Linked DNA regions of Caenorhabditis elegans. The protein of the gene in region 1 interacts with the protein of each later gene in a pairwise test. Each region holds a gene or a part of one and is shown in the gene's direction. Other genes may lie near its edges.

Region 1 (9,842 bases):
CTTTGCTCCTTTTGTCATAAATGCTGCAATCGCTTGGTGACACTCCTTGGATTGCCAACGCTCGCAAATCTGGTCGGCCTCGATATTGTTGACCTCCAGAAGCTTCTCCTTGTGCAGAGAACGGAGCAATTTCTTATTGATACGAAGAGTTTCTGGCGGAAGTTGGGAGAACGCTTCCACAGTTTTTTGAGCATGTGACTGGAATTCAGCGTCTGGCACAACTTCATTCACAAGCCCGTAATCCTTTGCAGTTTGGGCTGAGATTTTCTTACAGACCAACAGCATCTCAGAAGCTCTCAAAGATCCCATGATCAGTGGGAACGTGTAGCTCGAAACTCCTTCAGGTGATTGTCCAAGTGGGGCAAATGGAGTGTGGAATGAGGCCTTATCGGTTGCAATTACGTAGTCGAACATTCCGAGCACGGTCACAGCAATTCCTACGGCTGGGCCATTGATCAGAGCAATCAAAGGCTTCTCGTGGTTAATATAGGCCTGAAAATTTGAATTTATTATTGAAATATATATTTTTAAACTAACATTGACATAATCCTTCATAATAACTTTAGCTGTATTAGCCATATCCGCAATTTGCTCTTTAGTACCTCCAGCAGCAGCTTTAAAATTAGTCAAATCGTTTCCAGCGCAGTAATATGATCCATTGGCAGTAATCACAGTGATTGAGGTGCTCTTGTCATTGTTGGAGACCTCCAGTGCCTTTTGAATTCCTTGATACATTTCCAATGTCAATGCGTTGAACTTCTTTGGTCTATTCAATGCGATTTTGAACACTTTTCCCTCGCGAGTCACACTTAAACCGTCAACGTTCTCAAGTCCTTCGATTGATGGCCCAGTTGGTTCTGGAGCAGCAGAAGCTTCTTCGGAAATGAGTCCACCGACCAGTTTAGCATAGTTGGCGCGAGCTTCATCCTGAGTTTGTCCCTTCAAAGTATTCCAGGCATCATACTTGGCTCTTCCAACGAAATCCATCATTCCCGGGCGTTTTCCTTGCACATCCCCAGCGGTGGCTTGTTTGAAAAGCCCGTAGAGCTGCAGTTTCACGTCATTGTCCGGCTCTTCCTTCAGAGTTTTCAGATTTTTCTGCGCCTTCTCGAAGTCAGCCTGGGCAGAGAACGAGCGAACGGAACTGAAATTGAAGATTTATTCACAAATTAGATGATTTTTGCAGACTTACACTTGCGGATTGTAGAGAACACTTCTAGCGGCGAGGGTGAGATTTCGAAGCATTCTGAAATGAATTAAAATTGATTTTTTAAACGTTATAATTAATTTTTTCGGGGAAAAGAGAAAAAAAGAAAGAAAATGGACAACGTGAAGAAAAGAACAAGGTACACGGAGGGGCCGGGTAAATGATAAGAACGGCCGCCGTCTTTTTGTTGTTTTGAATGAACTGGCTACACACAAGAATACACATTGTAATGTGTAGCTGGACAATCGCTACTATACGCAAGACAATAGTGGAGCAATTATAAATGGGATAAATAATAGATTCAGGAAAATTTGGAGTTTCAATTTTTTTAAAAGAGAGCTCAAATTGTATAGATAACCTGGAAATTAAGATTTTAATATTAGAAAAAACAGTGAAAATCAAATTATAATCCCTAGGAGTCCTAGGAGAAATCCCCTCCTAGGAGAAATCAGAAAACTGATAAATAAAATCAATAAAATTTGCAGACAAAGGACGTTCACGGCCAAGGGTGTCAGTGTCCTGTAAAAATTACAAAAACGGGACAACGGGAATTCTCGTTCCCGTGAAAATTTTAAAAACGGGACAACAGAATTCCCGTTCCCGTGAAAACACCCCAAAAACGGGACAACGGGACAAACGGGACACGGGAATTGACACCCTTGTTCACGGCAACTACAAAATGCACAATACTTTGTCTACAGTACTCTGATTCAATTGTTTTGTTGTTTTTTTTTGTTAATTCTTTTTTTTTTGGTGTTAATTTTATTATTTAAATATGAATTTGTTATTTTTCGAGTGAAATCATTTTCATCCACGCAATCCTGAACGCCTGAAATTTTTGAAAAGTCTGCGTCTCTGCCCTCTAACGCGTGGCAACCGAGCGCGATTGCTCTTGAAAAATATTCACAGCTGGAGGCCTTTTTATTCTGTTTGAAACGTTTTTGCGTTCCAAATACAAAATAAAATCAATCTCCTAATTTTTAAATCAAGATGTCGAATTGAATCTGCTAAAAATTGAACGCGCTTCTTTATTACTGAGCTTTTAATCGCAAAAAACCGTTTTCCCCCGAATAATTAATATTTTTCAACAGAATACAACATTTGATGGATCTGGCATAGAATGTTCATACCTGTAAGTTTCCTTTAGAATTTTTTTAATAAAAAATAATTTTTGAAAATTCCAGAATGACAGGCCATCGGTTCTCCAGCTTCCGAAGCATGAAAAGGATTCGACTGCCGCCGATATCAAGTCAATTGTGGCAAATCGAGATCGAAGATTGATAGCAGTCGCAACAAATGATGCGATTTACATTTGGCTGGCAAATGTTAGTGCTGAAAACTAATAAAAATCTGATTAAAAAAACATAAATTCAGCCCCAACTGCTCCTGTGCTCCGTCGGGGTTATCGATGCCAATTTCAAAGAAACACGTGGAGAATTAAAAGAAATTTACTGGAAACCTGACTCAACAAGTATAGCTGTAACGGTAATATTTAAATTTTACAGTTCTTTCTTTGAAAATATTATATTTTTCAGACAAATCAATGCAAAATTTTAATCTATAATCTAGATTTGCGAGACGATGAACAATGCTACAATTTCACAGACTCTGCGGATCCATATTTCCAACGAAACTCACCGGAACTTTTTATAAAAGGATCTCGACCGACAGCTCATCTTCATCCAACAATAATCATAAATCTGGCTGATATACCAACATGTTGTGTTCCTTCTCGTGATGAATTTCTTGTTTGCCTTCAAAATGGATTCACTCATCATGTCACTTGGACTGGAGAGATTATTGCAAGCCTCTCATTCCGTGCCAGTTCAATTCCGTTCTCCGTGGATCAACTTCAGTCGAAATCTGAAAATATTACTTCAAAATCCACGTATATCTTTGACGCCGTGTATGCTCCACTTCTCGGAGGATTTGCGATTGTACTTTCCGATGGTCAAGGTGCTCTATTGACGTCGAATGATCCGAATTTTGCACCTAATGTGAGATTTTTATCATGAAAAATTAAAAAAAAAACCCATTTTTTATTATTCCAGGCAATTCTGGGAGTGTGGGCTCCGAATATGAAAGATGCCACGTGTTGCGATGTGAATCACAAGTTCCTTCTGATTCTTTTTGGATGTAAAAAGTGAGTTTTTTCAGATTTTTCAGATTTTAATTTTCAAAAATCAAACGCACAGTTTTCTTTTTAATCTAAACTATTTCCAGCGGCGACGTTTGTGCCTATAACATCGATGAACTAAATGGCTCACTCGTTCAATCGTTCCGAGTTGCTCCAAAAGTAACAAATGGTCCTGACTTGACGAATCGACTGGGTCCGGTTCACCGAATAACAGCCCTCGCGAATGGATACGGATTCGGTGCAATTTGGTCTCCACTATCCGGAGCTCATGCTCTTCCTCGGCTCGTCGCAGTTTTCACTTCATTCGGAGCTCAATCATTTTGCAATCTGGAAGGTGTCGTCGAAGAAGATCAAAATGATAGATACACGGCTATTGAATGGGGTCCAGAAGGTTTCCAACTGTGGCTTGGAACTGAAAATGAGCTTATGATGCAACCATTCGTGAGGAGTGCTTCATGTTCAAGCCCGGCAATGGAACATTGTGATAGAGCTGTATTGATGAGTGACTCGCAGGTTTTGATCAGTGCTGCAAGGGATCGAGAAGCAGAAGCTTGTGCACCGCATTCTGTATGGGATCATATTACAGTTACACATGAATATCTATCATCTAATTGGCCACTGAGAGTGAGTTTTTTAAAAGTAAAAACTAAAAGCATAAATTTGGTAAAACCATGAGGTAGGCATGTAGGCACGTAGGTATTTTCCGATAGAGTTTATTAAAATAAAATGTTAAAATTTAATATGTTTTCAGTATGCATCAACTGATCGAAACTATAAACATCTCGTCGTGGCCGGTGATCAAGGAATGGCATATTGTTCATTATCCAATCGACGTTGGAAGATTTTTGGAAATGAGACTCAAGAGAAGAATCTCTTGGTCACTGGAGGTGTCTTTATTTGGAATGATGACGTCATTGGAGTTGTTGGAGTTGCTGCGGATACTGACAAGTCCCATCTCTCATTTTATCCAATTTCTCAGAGACTTGACAGTCGATATGCGTCGGTTGTGGATTTGGAGCATAAATCGGTCATGTCCGTGTTACGGTAAGAAATATTCAATCTTGGAAATGAACTCTCATTATCAGTTTTTTTGGAATTATTCTAGATTCAGTGACATTAATATTTTCCCAATTTTTCCAGCGACGACGTTTGTGCAGTATTCGATATATCGGCTCAAATTACGCTTTATAAGCTCACGGCTCACTTGGAAACTGGACGAGATGCTTTTACAAAAGTCTCCACTGAAATTGTGACTGTTATTCGAATCAACGAAATTGTTCCACATCCAACATGTATTGTATCTCTTCAAATGACACAGCTGAATCTGGATGTACGGGGGAAGTTGTCACCTGCATTTTATTCAAGTATCGATACTGTGCTGGTTAATATTTCGGGAAGATTGATCACTTTGAGTGTTAATGAGGATGGAAAGGTTTGTACGGAAAATTAAAATTGCATGGTTTCTGAGTTTCCAGAATTTTGCAAAATTTGATGAATATTTAGAATTTTTGGAATTTTTAAATTTTATATTCTTGTCCAATTTTTGGTATTTCAGAAATTTTTAAAACATTCTGAATTTTTTGAATTTTCAGAACTTCTAGAGTTTTCGAATTTTTGGGTTTTCTGGAATTTAAAAAAAATTAAAATATTTTGGAATTGAATTTTTTGTTTCGAAATTTAATAATTTTCAATTTTTAGAAATTTCAAAATTTTTCCGTTCCTAGATTTTTCAACATTTTGAATTTCAGTATTTTTAAAACATGAAAAATTTTTCCTTTTTCCTAAATACTCGGTTAACTCGGTTAAACTAATTTTTTTCAATTTTCAGAATTTTTCAATTTTGGAATTTTGCAAAATTCAGTTTCTTTTTAATTTTCGGATTTTTTAAAGTTTTGAATTTGTGAAATGATTCAAATTTAGACTATTTGAATTTTCTGGAATTTTGGAAGTTTTGGGATTTCTGAAATGTTTGGTTTTTAAATTAGAAATTTTTGGAATTCGGAAATACAATATTAAAATAAAATTTACAGCTCCATCAACCCATGGTAATCGCGTCATACGTGGAAAAAATGTGGCATGACCGTTGTCAAGTCTCCCAATCAACCCAGTCTCAAAATCAAGATCTTCCATGGAAGAACCATCGGCGAAATGGATCAAATGTTTCAATCCAAAGTGTTTCCACATCAACAACTTCAGAACCATCATCTCCAATGAATCAATCATGTTCTTCACATTTGAGTAATGCTTTATGGATTGCTTGTGGTGCAAAAGGAATCAAAGTTTGGATGCCGTTGGTGCCAGGAAAACGAAATTTAGCCACACAGGAAATGACGTTTATCGCGAAACGAATAATGCTTCCATTTGAACTTGATATCTATCCAATTGTGATTAGTGCCAAAGATTGTCTTGCAATGGGTGTCGAGAGTCAACTACAACATGTTGCAAGAGCTTCAAGAAATCAAGGACAAATGGAAAGTATCACTATGTATGGACTTCATCGCAATAGTGAAGTATTTGTGCATCACCTGCTCCGACAACTTTTGAAGCGAAATCTTGGAGTTTTTGCTTTGGAGCTCGCCGGAGCCTGTCGTTCTCTTCCACATTTCACGCATGCTCTTGAGCTTTTGCTCCATGGAGTCCTTGAAGAAGAAGCTACAAGTAGTGAACCAATTCCAGATCCTCTTCTCCCAAGATGTGTAGCTTTTATTCACGAATTTCCAGAATTTCTGAAAACCGTAGCACATTGTGCACGAAAAACTGAATTGGCACTTTGGAGAACGTTATTTGATGTCACAGGATCTCCAAATGCACTATTCGAAGAATGTCTACAACTGAAACAACTCGAAAATGCTGCAAGTTTCGTGATTGTCCTGCAAAATCTTGAAACCACCGAAGTGAGTATGGATCAAGCAGCGAGACTTGTGAAGGAAGCATTAGAAGAGAAAAAATGGACGATTGCGAAGGAAATGGTCAGATTTGCAAGATCTATTGGTTCGGAGGATATTGATGCATTGTAAGAATTAATGAATTCATTAATAGAGAAATTAAAAAAGAATGCCTCCAAAAAGAGAACGCACGGAAAAAAGATTCCCAGAATACATGTGCCCTACATCCGTAACTCTCCTTTTATCAAGCGAGGTATTCAGAATCAAGGTCACCGTTGTTATCGTATCCGTTTCACGCTACGATCCACAGAATCGGCACCCACTTTGAAAAATAATTAAATGTGTTCAGAAATAGAATAATGACCGAAACTAAGTTGAATTCGCAACAACGAATTATTAGATACCGTAATCCACACATTTGCATTTGAAAAATTGGCCGTGTCGAGACCGGCTACCGTAGTTTTTAAGCAAACAAAAATAAAATTTGATAATAACTTTGCAATTGTTTTAATTTTTAAAAAGTTTCAGAACACCTCCACCAAGTGCCAAGACTTCTCTATCCCGCCGACCTACAGTATCCTCACCGTCCGCTGATTCTTCCACTGAATTCGTGATTAATAGATTTCAAGCGGGAGCTGCTGGAGGAAGATTAAATAAAGTTCGACATTCACAGAGTACTGAGCAAAAAGATGCACCGAGAAAAGATTCGATTGGCGGAAGTTCAAAGGATAAAATGGCGTTGTCTTGGGTTTGTGTGTTTTACTGGAAATTTTTATTTTTATAAAATCTAATTTCAGGGCCTATCTGGTGAACTTTCTCCACAATTGGCTACGAATCGACTCGCCGCAAAAATGACATCAATTCTAGAAGATCACGCGTGGCATTTGCTGAATAATTATTGGCTTCTAGATCTTGGTAATTGGAAAAAAAAATTCAGGACAATTTGGATTCAATTTTTTTCAGGATTCTTCTGGTCCGAACTTCAATTCGATTTGCTCGGTCTTTTGGAGACGCGACGGAAACAAATTTCTCTTTCACCGAAAACTACAAACGAAAATTGCTTTTTGATTGAAGATTTTGCCTTGGCACTTACAAGGTAAATTGGGATTCTTCCACTGAAAATGTAATAATTCAGAAATTTAAAAATAAACTTAAATTTTCGAGTTTTCCAGTTTTTTCGAGAATCTGAAAATCGAAAAAAAAACTTGAAATTTAATACTAAAAAATTTAAATTTTTAATTATTCCGATTTTTCGTGTTTTTCAGAAAAATGATACATTATACGGAAAAAAAATTTTTGATTTTAAATTTCCCGTTTTTTTTTTAATTTTTAAATTCTCGGAAAAATTGGAAAACTCGAAAATTTAAGTTTATTTTTAAATTTCTGAATTGTTACATTTTCTGTAAAAAATAATAATTAAAGAAAAAACACGAAACATTTTTTGGGGGAATTTTTAAAATCTAAAATTATTGGAAAAAAATGCAAATTTTATCTTTCAAAAAAAAAAAACTGAAATTTTGAAAATCGAAAAATTAAAAAAAATTTTAAGCGTTGTAAAAATATATGAGAAAAACCCAGAAGCTAAATATTAACCAGAAAAATGTAAATTTTGATGAGAAAAAATTATTGAAAAACTATCGGAAATTTTGAATATTCCTTCGATTTTGTCGATTTTCAATAAAAATTGGGAATATTTTTAATATAAAAAACTCTAATTTCAAAAATTTTCAGACTCCATGCTCAATTCTCGTGGCCATATCCTCTCATCGGTTCTCAATTCGTGCATCAAATTGAGAAGAAGCTTGGAAATATTCGTGTCAGCCAGAGTACTGCAAGCTTGAATGGACTACTAAATGACTCATTGGATAATATAAAGAAGCCTAAAGCCAGAAAATTGGAAAGGACTGTAGTTGATTTAAATGGAGCTAGATCGAGAATTCGTGAAACGGATATTGAAGCTAGCGAAGAAGACGTTGAGATTCAAGAAGCCGTGCTGGAAAGAGTACGTGGAAGTGCTGTGGAACTGGCACCAGTAATCGATAGATCCCCATCGACATCTTCTTCAATGAATCATCATGCTCCATTGGCTCCACCGTCACCTTCATCCTGTGATTCTCGAAGTCTTGCCGGAGACTGCTACCAGAATACTGATTTCTTAGTTGGAGAAAAATCTTCGCGTGGAAATTTGCAAAGTAGTCATCAACTGGAACTTCTTCTTTCTCTATTCTCCCAGACTGCTACTATTGACTGGATATTCCTTTTCTGTCTGTTAAGTCGGGATGAACGAAAGCTTCGACAGGAGATCAACGTTTCGATGGTTCGAAGAGCCGGTGAGAAGAGCTTCGCCAGAGTTCGATTCGCGTGCAGTGAGCTCTCGAGATGGGCGGTCGAGAAATGCTGTGGATACGTGGCACTTTTACAAGCATTCGATGCTCATTTGGCAGTGGTTGCCGAACAAGCAGGATGTGCTGATCTCAAATTCTCACCTGATAATGAGAATCGGAAAGCTTCACAGAAAACGAGTGCTGACGATCCAAAACGCGGCCGGAGACGAGCGGATTCTGGAAGTTCTAAGCTAAATAATTCGTTTTCGAATCCAAAATTAAATGGAATGAATGGAGGAAGACGAGAACGGAGTCGCAGCGCAGATAGAGCTCATAAATCGGTGAAAAGGTAATATCCAAAGACTTTTGAAATTGAAAATCGAGACTAAAAAAGTGAAATTTTCAGATATGATGATGTCGTTTGTGCTGAGGATGCTCTTGAGAAAGCCAATGAAGAAGGATGCTCAATCATGTAGCCAATGGAAAAGCCCACAATTATTGTTTTAAATCTTTTTTTTCGAAAATCCAAATTCTCACACAGGTTTCCTTCTCAATTATGATATCCCCTCCCTCCCATTGGTTTTTGCCATTTTCATGTATTATGTATAGGTCTATAACTGTGATGTGTGATACACTCGACAAACAATTGCTAAAAATAAACGGTGCTAGAGTTATGTCAGGATATAATCTAGATTTCTATTATTTATTTGTGTCCCCCTTTTTCTTTTTCTTTTCTTTTCCTTTAACCTATTAATCTTATGAATATCGATATTTTATTGTTCATCTTTGAGGAGCTATATTGAAGATGGGAGGGTGGAGGGGGGTGCTGACCAATAAGAAGAAACGAAAGAAGGGATCCATGAAAGAGGTTATTACATGAACACAAAATTCTGTGAATGCGTATGGGGCAACACATTTGACGCGCAAAATACTCCTCTTCACAAACGCTCCGCATATTGCCGAGCTTCAAATCGGCCTTGAGTCCCAAAATCTATGCGTCTCTTCAACTATCTACACCCTCTGGACTATCTAAACCTTTTTTCCATCAACACACCTGGTGTGAGAGTGTCCCATTTCGGTTTGATCTACGTTGATCTACGAGAATCGCATTTACCTAGACGCAGACTTCTCCACTGATTTCGCATGATTAGGAGACTTTTTTGGGGAAAAAACTTCCGCATTTTTTGTAGATCAAACCGTTATGGAACAACCGGAGCTGCTGACACCACGTATAAACATGCAATAACTATTAATAACCGACAGAAAAGATATTGTAATTTCAAATATCA
Region 2 (5,731 bases), on another chromosome or scaffold:
AGTCTATCCAAGAACTTATTTGCAACCAAGTTGGAATTATCGCCAGCAAGAAAATGTCTTTGAGGACAAGACGGAATACTTCCACCGACCAAGACAGATCTCTGTGGGCACAGGATGAACTGAGCTTCAAGTGGAGTTGCACTGAATCCATTGATAGAGACTACATGTTCGATTCTCCCGGTAGCAATGAATTTGGCTGATTTGATGGTAAAGGAGAAAGGTGTTCCTGCTGGGATGTTGCTTAGCATCTTGATGACAGATTCTGAAATCAATATAGTAATACTAATAGTAAATTAAATTGTATAATAAAAAATCTTAAATCTTACGCTTATCATAAGTGCCCTTGCATCCTTTGAATGAGAAGTCATCGGAGAATAGAGTAGCAATACGGGAAGCATCTTTCGACTCAAGGGCCTTTGTCACAGTTCCCAAGAAAGTTTTGACGATTTCTTCGGGATTAGCATGATCACTGAAATGCCTCGGAGGGCAGGATACAATGCTTCCACTAGCCAATGTTAACGTCTTTGCGCAGAGAATGAACAGCGCGTCGATTGATGCAGCACCGAATCCATTGATAGATACAATATAACTGATTCTGTCGTCGGAGAGGGGCTTTGCTGATTTAAGAGTGAAGGAGAATGGGGTGCCAGCAGGGAGTTTGCTTAGAATTTTGGTGGCGGTTTCTGAAATATTTGAGTTATGTAGTGTGTCGGGAATTTGAGTGGCATGGTGCGAAATTTAAAATCTCAGAGGTTTTTGCAAGGCGGTTAACAATTATGGGGTTATTCAAGTAATGTAGCAAAATGTATTTAAATACATTTGTGACGTCACAAATGTATTAAAATACATGTTTTTATGTATTTTAATACAGCTGTGACGTAATTTTTCTACACTTTTTAATTTTCTGACACTACTTGAATAACCCCATTACGGAGGGATTCACAATAGAGATTAGGCTAGTGGTACATCCATACATATGCGCTCTACTGATAATTTGAGTTTAACCAGGTTTGGGCGAGTTTTAAAAAAAAGTTTTGGTCCAAAAAATGTAGAATTTATTATCGGACATTTTTTTACATGCACCAAAAAATGTTCGACCAGCCGTTTTTGAGGAAAAAAAACCCGCCCAAACTTCCAGGTATACGGTAGACAAATTACGTACAGGCCCCCCTTCTCGGGTCGTGTTAGGGCTCCCAGCAGAGTGAGGCGCGAAATGCGGGCCTCACGCCGACCTCCGCGCACCGATGTGTGTATGCAACGAAGTGCGAAGGGTAGTTATTTGGAGCGGCCGACAAGTTCGGGGTTCCGCAGCTTGGCGTGAAACGAGTAGCTTGGTGTGTGCAGTGCACAACGTAGTTCGAAACTGTGGTTGGCGGCCGACAAGTTCGGGGTTCCGTGCCGCACTATACATTCGGATACATGCGGCGTGAGTGACGCCGACACCGTGAGGCCGGCGCGGCTACCGCTGAGGTCGGCGCGGGACTCGTTGCGGCGACCTCATGGGAGCCCTAACAGAGATGTTAAATTGTTTCAAAATAGCACCGAAACTACTTAATTATAACTTTGCGAGAGCTTACAGATCATTCAAGAATCCCGTCAATTTTTCAACATCTTAAGGAAATTGCCTAAAACACTCACCCTTGTCATATTTTCCCTTGCATCCTTGAAACGAGAACCCATCGGAAAATAGTGTAGCAATCCGGGAAGCATCTCTAGTAGCAATTTCATCTGACACTTTGCTCAAAAACTCCTTGACAGTGGTCTCGGATCCATCGGCGAGTCCATGAATAGTTCTGAAGAGAAGAAAAACGAGAAGAAAATAATTTGTCAGCCACATATTGTGAGGCGACTATCTGCGGAAAAGACGGGATGGTGGGCTCCTTTTAAGCGACAAGATGGGCGGTATGATCGTTATGAATAATCGAATTATTGGAGGGACGGGAATTGGGAATTGTTGCGGGGGACGACACGTCAGCACAGGGAATCGAAAATCAAATTTGGAAAGATGGGAAAAAAATCAAGAAATCTGCAAAATTCGTAGAAGAAAGATGAAAGTGTGGGGAGCTTTTAGATTCGGTAATGTGTATTTTCTATAGAATCCCCCAAAGTTTCGAGTTTTGACATTTTTCATAAAAATTTGATAATGCCAATCGATTTCAATTGTTAAAAAAAAGCAAAAGTTGTATTTTTCAAAAATTCAAAAGTACTGAAAAATCATATGAAGTGCTTCTTTTTTCTTTTATAATACTGTTCAGCATGATCAGAAATACCAGAAAATACTAAAAAAAAGTATGCTAGTCAATCCGGAACATATTTTAAAAAATTGCACAATTTGACCAAAAGCTGTATTTTTCAAAAATTCAAAAGTACGCCAAAATCATATGAAGTGCTTCTTTTTTCTTTTATATTACTGTTCAGCATGATCAGAAATACCAGAAAGTATCAAAAAGAGTATGCTAGCTTGACCGGAAGATTATTTTGAAAAATTGCAAAATTTAGTTAAAATCTATTTTTTCAAAAATTCAAAAGTACTGAAAAACCATATGAAGCGATTCTTTTTTCTTTCATAAAACTGAAAAATAAATGAAGTAAATAAAACGATGCAAGCGCGCTCCAATGCGAATTTGAAAAAATTATGCGGGGGCACAAATGAAATTCGGCGATTTCAAGCTCAAATATAAAATCAGGGATTTTTTTGTTGAATTTTTTTTACATCGATATTCGGAATACTCCACGTGATTTGTAAAATAAATACAACATTTCAGAATTTAAAAAAAAAGAATTGTCCACGTAACCTTGCCCCCCCCCCTCTTCCTAATTGTTCCAACAACATTTCCAAAACTCCTCAACAATCATTCATTCCCTACTTGTCGTACAATTAACATCGAAGAATAAGAGTTTTTGAAAAATGGAAGATATCTACTATTCGCCACGTTACGAAGATGATGAATACGAATATCGCCACGTCATTCTTCCGCAAGCCGTCTCGAGAAAAGTGCCAAAGGGAAGACTTCTTAGTGAGGCTGAATGGAGACGTGCTGGAGTTCAACAGGTATATTTTCAATTAAGTGATATGTTAAGATTTTAGGAAAAAAATCGATAATTAAAAAAAATAGATTTTTCCAAAAATCGATAATTCACAAAATTGATATTTTGAAAAAGCCAATATTTTAAAATATTTTTTATTAAATTAAGCAAGGCTCCCAGCCGAGTGAGGTGCGAAATGTGGGCCTTACGCCGGCCCGATAATTTAATTGCCGGTTTGCTGATTTGCCGGAAATTCTCATGTTCGGCAAATTGCCGGTTTGCCGATTTTCCAGAAATTTTCAATTCCGGCTATGTGCCGGTTTGCCGATTTGCCAGACATTTTCAATTCCGGCTATGTGCCGGTTTGCCGATTTGCCAGACATTTTCAATTCCGGCTATGTGCCGGTTTGCCGATTTGCCAGACATTTTCAATTCCGGCTATGTGCCGATTTGCCGATTTGCCAGGAACTTTCAATTCCGGCAATTTGCCGGTTAGCCGACTTGCCAGAAATTTTCAATTCCGGCAATTTGCCAGAAATTTTCAATTCCGGCAGTTTGCCGATTTGCCGATTTCCAGAAATTTTAAACTTCGGCAATTTGCCGGTTTTTTGATTTGCCAGAAATTTTCAATTCCGGCTATGTGTCGGTTTGCCGATTTGCCAGAAATTTTCAATTCCGGCAATTGGCCGGCTTACCGATTTGCCCGAAATTTTCAATTCCGGCAATTTGCCTTTAATGAAAATTTGTTTTAAATAAACATTAATATGTTGATAGAATCGATATTTCAAGAAAACCGATAGTCATAAAATCGACGAAAAAAAATCAATATTAAATTTCTGAATGTGGCCGAATTATTGATTTTTCATACTTTTCAGTCACTTGGATGGGAGCACTACATGGTTCATAACCCGGAGAAGCACATTCTCTTGTTCCGTCGGAAGCGCCATTTCACAAAAGCCGACGAGGAGCGTGCCAAAATGGAATTGTTGAGAGATATGGAAGTGTTCAATAGAGCGCAACAGCAAACGACAGCAACCGATGAGAAATTGAACGCGGTTTTCTATGAATTTGTGAATAAAGCAGTGTAGATATTTTGTAAGACTTTGGGCTTCCATGGGTGAGCGGCGGTGCGTCTCGCGCCGGCCGGCCATCGCCGCTGTTATTTGGAAGCGTCCGACACGTTCGGGGTTCCGCGCCGCACTATACATGACTGAGGCGTCTCGCTGGTCGGCGAAGGCGCCTCGCCGGCGCAGGAATGGAAGCCCTAGTAATACCGTATGTTCAATTAAAAAGCGCCGAAAATCGATATATTACAAAAGTTGCTTTTTAAAAAATCGATATTTTGGGAAATCGATATTTCGACAAAAATCAATATTAAATGAAAATCGAAGTCATAAAAATCAATATTTTGCAACAAAACCCGTATAGAATAAAAATCTCGGCCGCCATAAAAACGAAGCATAAAGATTTTTATTTCAAATTTTATGTTAACAAAAATTACAAATTTGTTTTGAACGTAGAGTACACCAGGGGCCGGCAATTCCCGTTCGGCAATTTTTTTTGTCCACAAATTCGGAAAGTCGGCAAATTGCCAGTTTGCCGATTTGCCGGAAATTGTCATTTTCGGCAATTTGCCGGGTTGTCGATTTGCCGGAAATTTTCATTTCCGGTAAATTGCCGGTTTGCCGATTTGGCAGAAATTTTCAATTCCGTTAATTTGCCGTAAATTTTCAATTCTGGTAATTTGCCAGAAATTTTAAATTACGGCAATTTGCCAGTTTTGCCGATTTGCCGGAAATTTCAAATTGCGGCTATTCACCGGTTTGCCGATTTGCCGGAAATTTTAAATTCCGGCAATCTGCCGGTTTGTCGATTTTCCGGAAATTTTCAATTCCGGCAAATTGCCGGTTTGCCGATTTGCTGAAAATTTTAAATTCCGGCAAATTGCTGGTTTGCCGATTTGCCGATTTTCCGGAAATTTTCAATTCTGGCAAATTGCGGGGTTGCCGATTTGCCAGAAATTTCCAATTTCGGCAAATTGCCGGTTTGCCGATTTGCCTGAAATTTTCAATTCCGGCATTTTGCCAATTTGCCAGTACAACACTAATTTCAAAATTTATTGATTGAAAAAATCGCAGAAAAAGGAATGCTTTAAGTTCAAAAATAATTTGCAAAAATTCAATAATTAAATATTATTATTAAGTCCTCCAGTCTTGCATGCCTTAATCGATTCCAGCACGTTTTTATCGATTTTCTGTCCAATTATGAGCGTTTTTTCGAAATATTCCAACATTTTCCCAGTGTATCCTTTAACGGCAAGAGCTGAAGACTCTTGGCTCATAGAAGTATTTCCAAAATGGGTGAAGTGTAGGGAGAACTTTTCGGCAATACTTGCGAGAAGCCATGGAAAATAGAGATTAGTCGCCATATTGGTACGGAGAGTGAAGCAGTCGCCTTCGAATGAGTCTGGAATTTGAAATAAAAAGCTTTTTTTTGGCCCAGAATTTTTTTCTCGGTGAAAAAATATTTTAGCGAAAAAAGCTTTGATTGAATTTTGAGACAAATTTTAAGTCCAAAAAAAATTTTTTTTTTGACATTTTTGAATTTTTTTAAAGCATAAATTGACATAAATTTCGACCAAAAAGATTCTTTCGTGGCCTAAAAACTTTTTGCGGCCACTGGCTTCCCTCATAAATTGAAATGG

The links. Proteins that work in one complex are often made in the same cells at the same time.
Region 2: the proteins of R06F6.8 (region 1) and Y71G12B.27 interact in a two-hybrid assay, tested with the Caenorhabditis elegans proteins (one large-scale study listed by BioGRID).

What each region holds. Positions count from the first base shown.
Region 1 is NC_003280.10:10,812,435-10,822,276, reverse strand, and holds R06F6.8 (Guanine nucleotide exchange factor subunit R06F6.8), read left to right. Parts: upstream 1-2,298; 5' UTR 2,299-2,327; coding exon 2,328-2,339; intron 2,340-2,391; coding exon 2,392-2,532; intron 2,533-2,581; coding exon 2,582-2,692; intron 2,693-2,742; coding exon 2,743-3,204; intron 3,205-3,258; coding exon 3,259-3,350; intron 3,351-3,430; coding exon 3,431-3,968; intron 3,969-4,095; coding exon 4,096-4,388; intron 4,389-4,484; coding exon 4,485-4,776; intron 4,777-5,374; coding exon 5,375-6,357; intron 6,358-6,751; coding exon 6,752-6,977; intron 6,978-7,026; coding exon 7,027-7,144; intron 7,145-7,192; coding exon 7,193-7,325; intron 7,326-7,960; coding exon 7,961-8,902; intron 8,903-8,959; coding exon 8,960-9,029; 3' UTR 9,030-9,328; downstream 9,329-9,842. Other genes in the region: ech-4 (Delta(3),Delta(2)-enoyl-CoA isomerase), read right to left, coding at 1-492, 538-1,144, 1,193-1,245. UniProt on the Caenorhabditis elegans protein: Probable component of a guanine nucleotide exchange factor (GEF) that may be required for efficient fusion of endosome-derived vesicles with the Golgi.
Region 2 is NC_003279.8:1,795,823-1,801,553, reverse strand, and holds Y71G12B.27 (Cyclin-dependent kinases regulatory subunit), read left to right. Parts: upstream 1-2,831; 5' UTR 2,832-2,908; coding exon 2,909-3,052; intron 3,053-3,902; coding exon 3,903-4,115; 3' UTR 4,116-4,119; downstream 4,120-5,731. Other genes in the region: Y71G12B.5 (Apolipophorin), read right to left, coding at 1-262, 327-683, 1,639-1,837; rml-5 (NAD(P)-binding domain-containing protein), read right to left, coding at 5,213-5,493.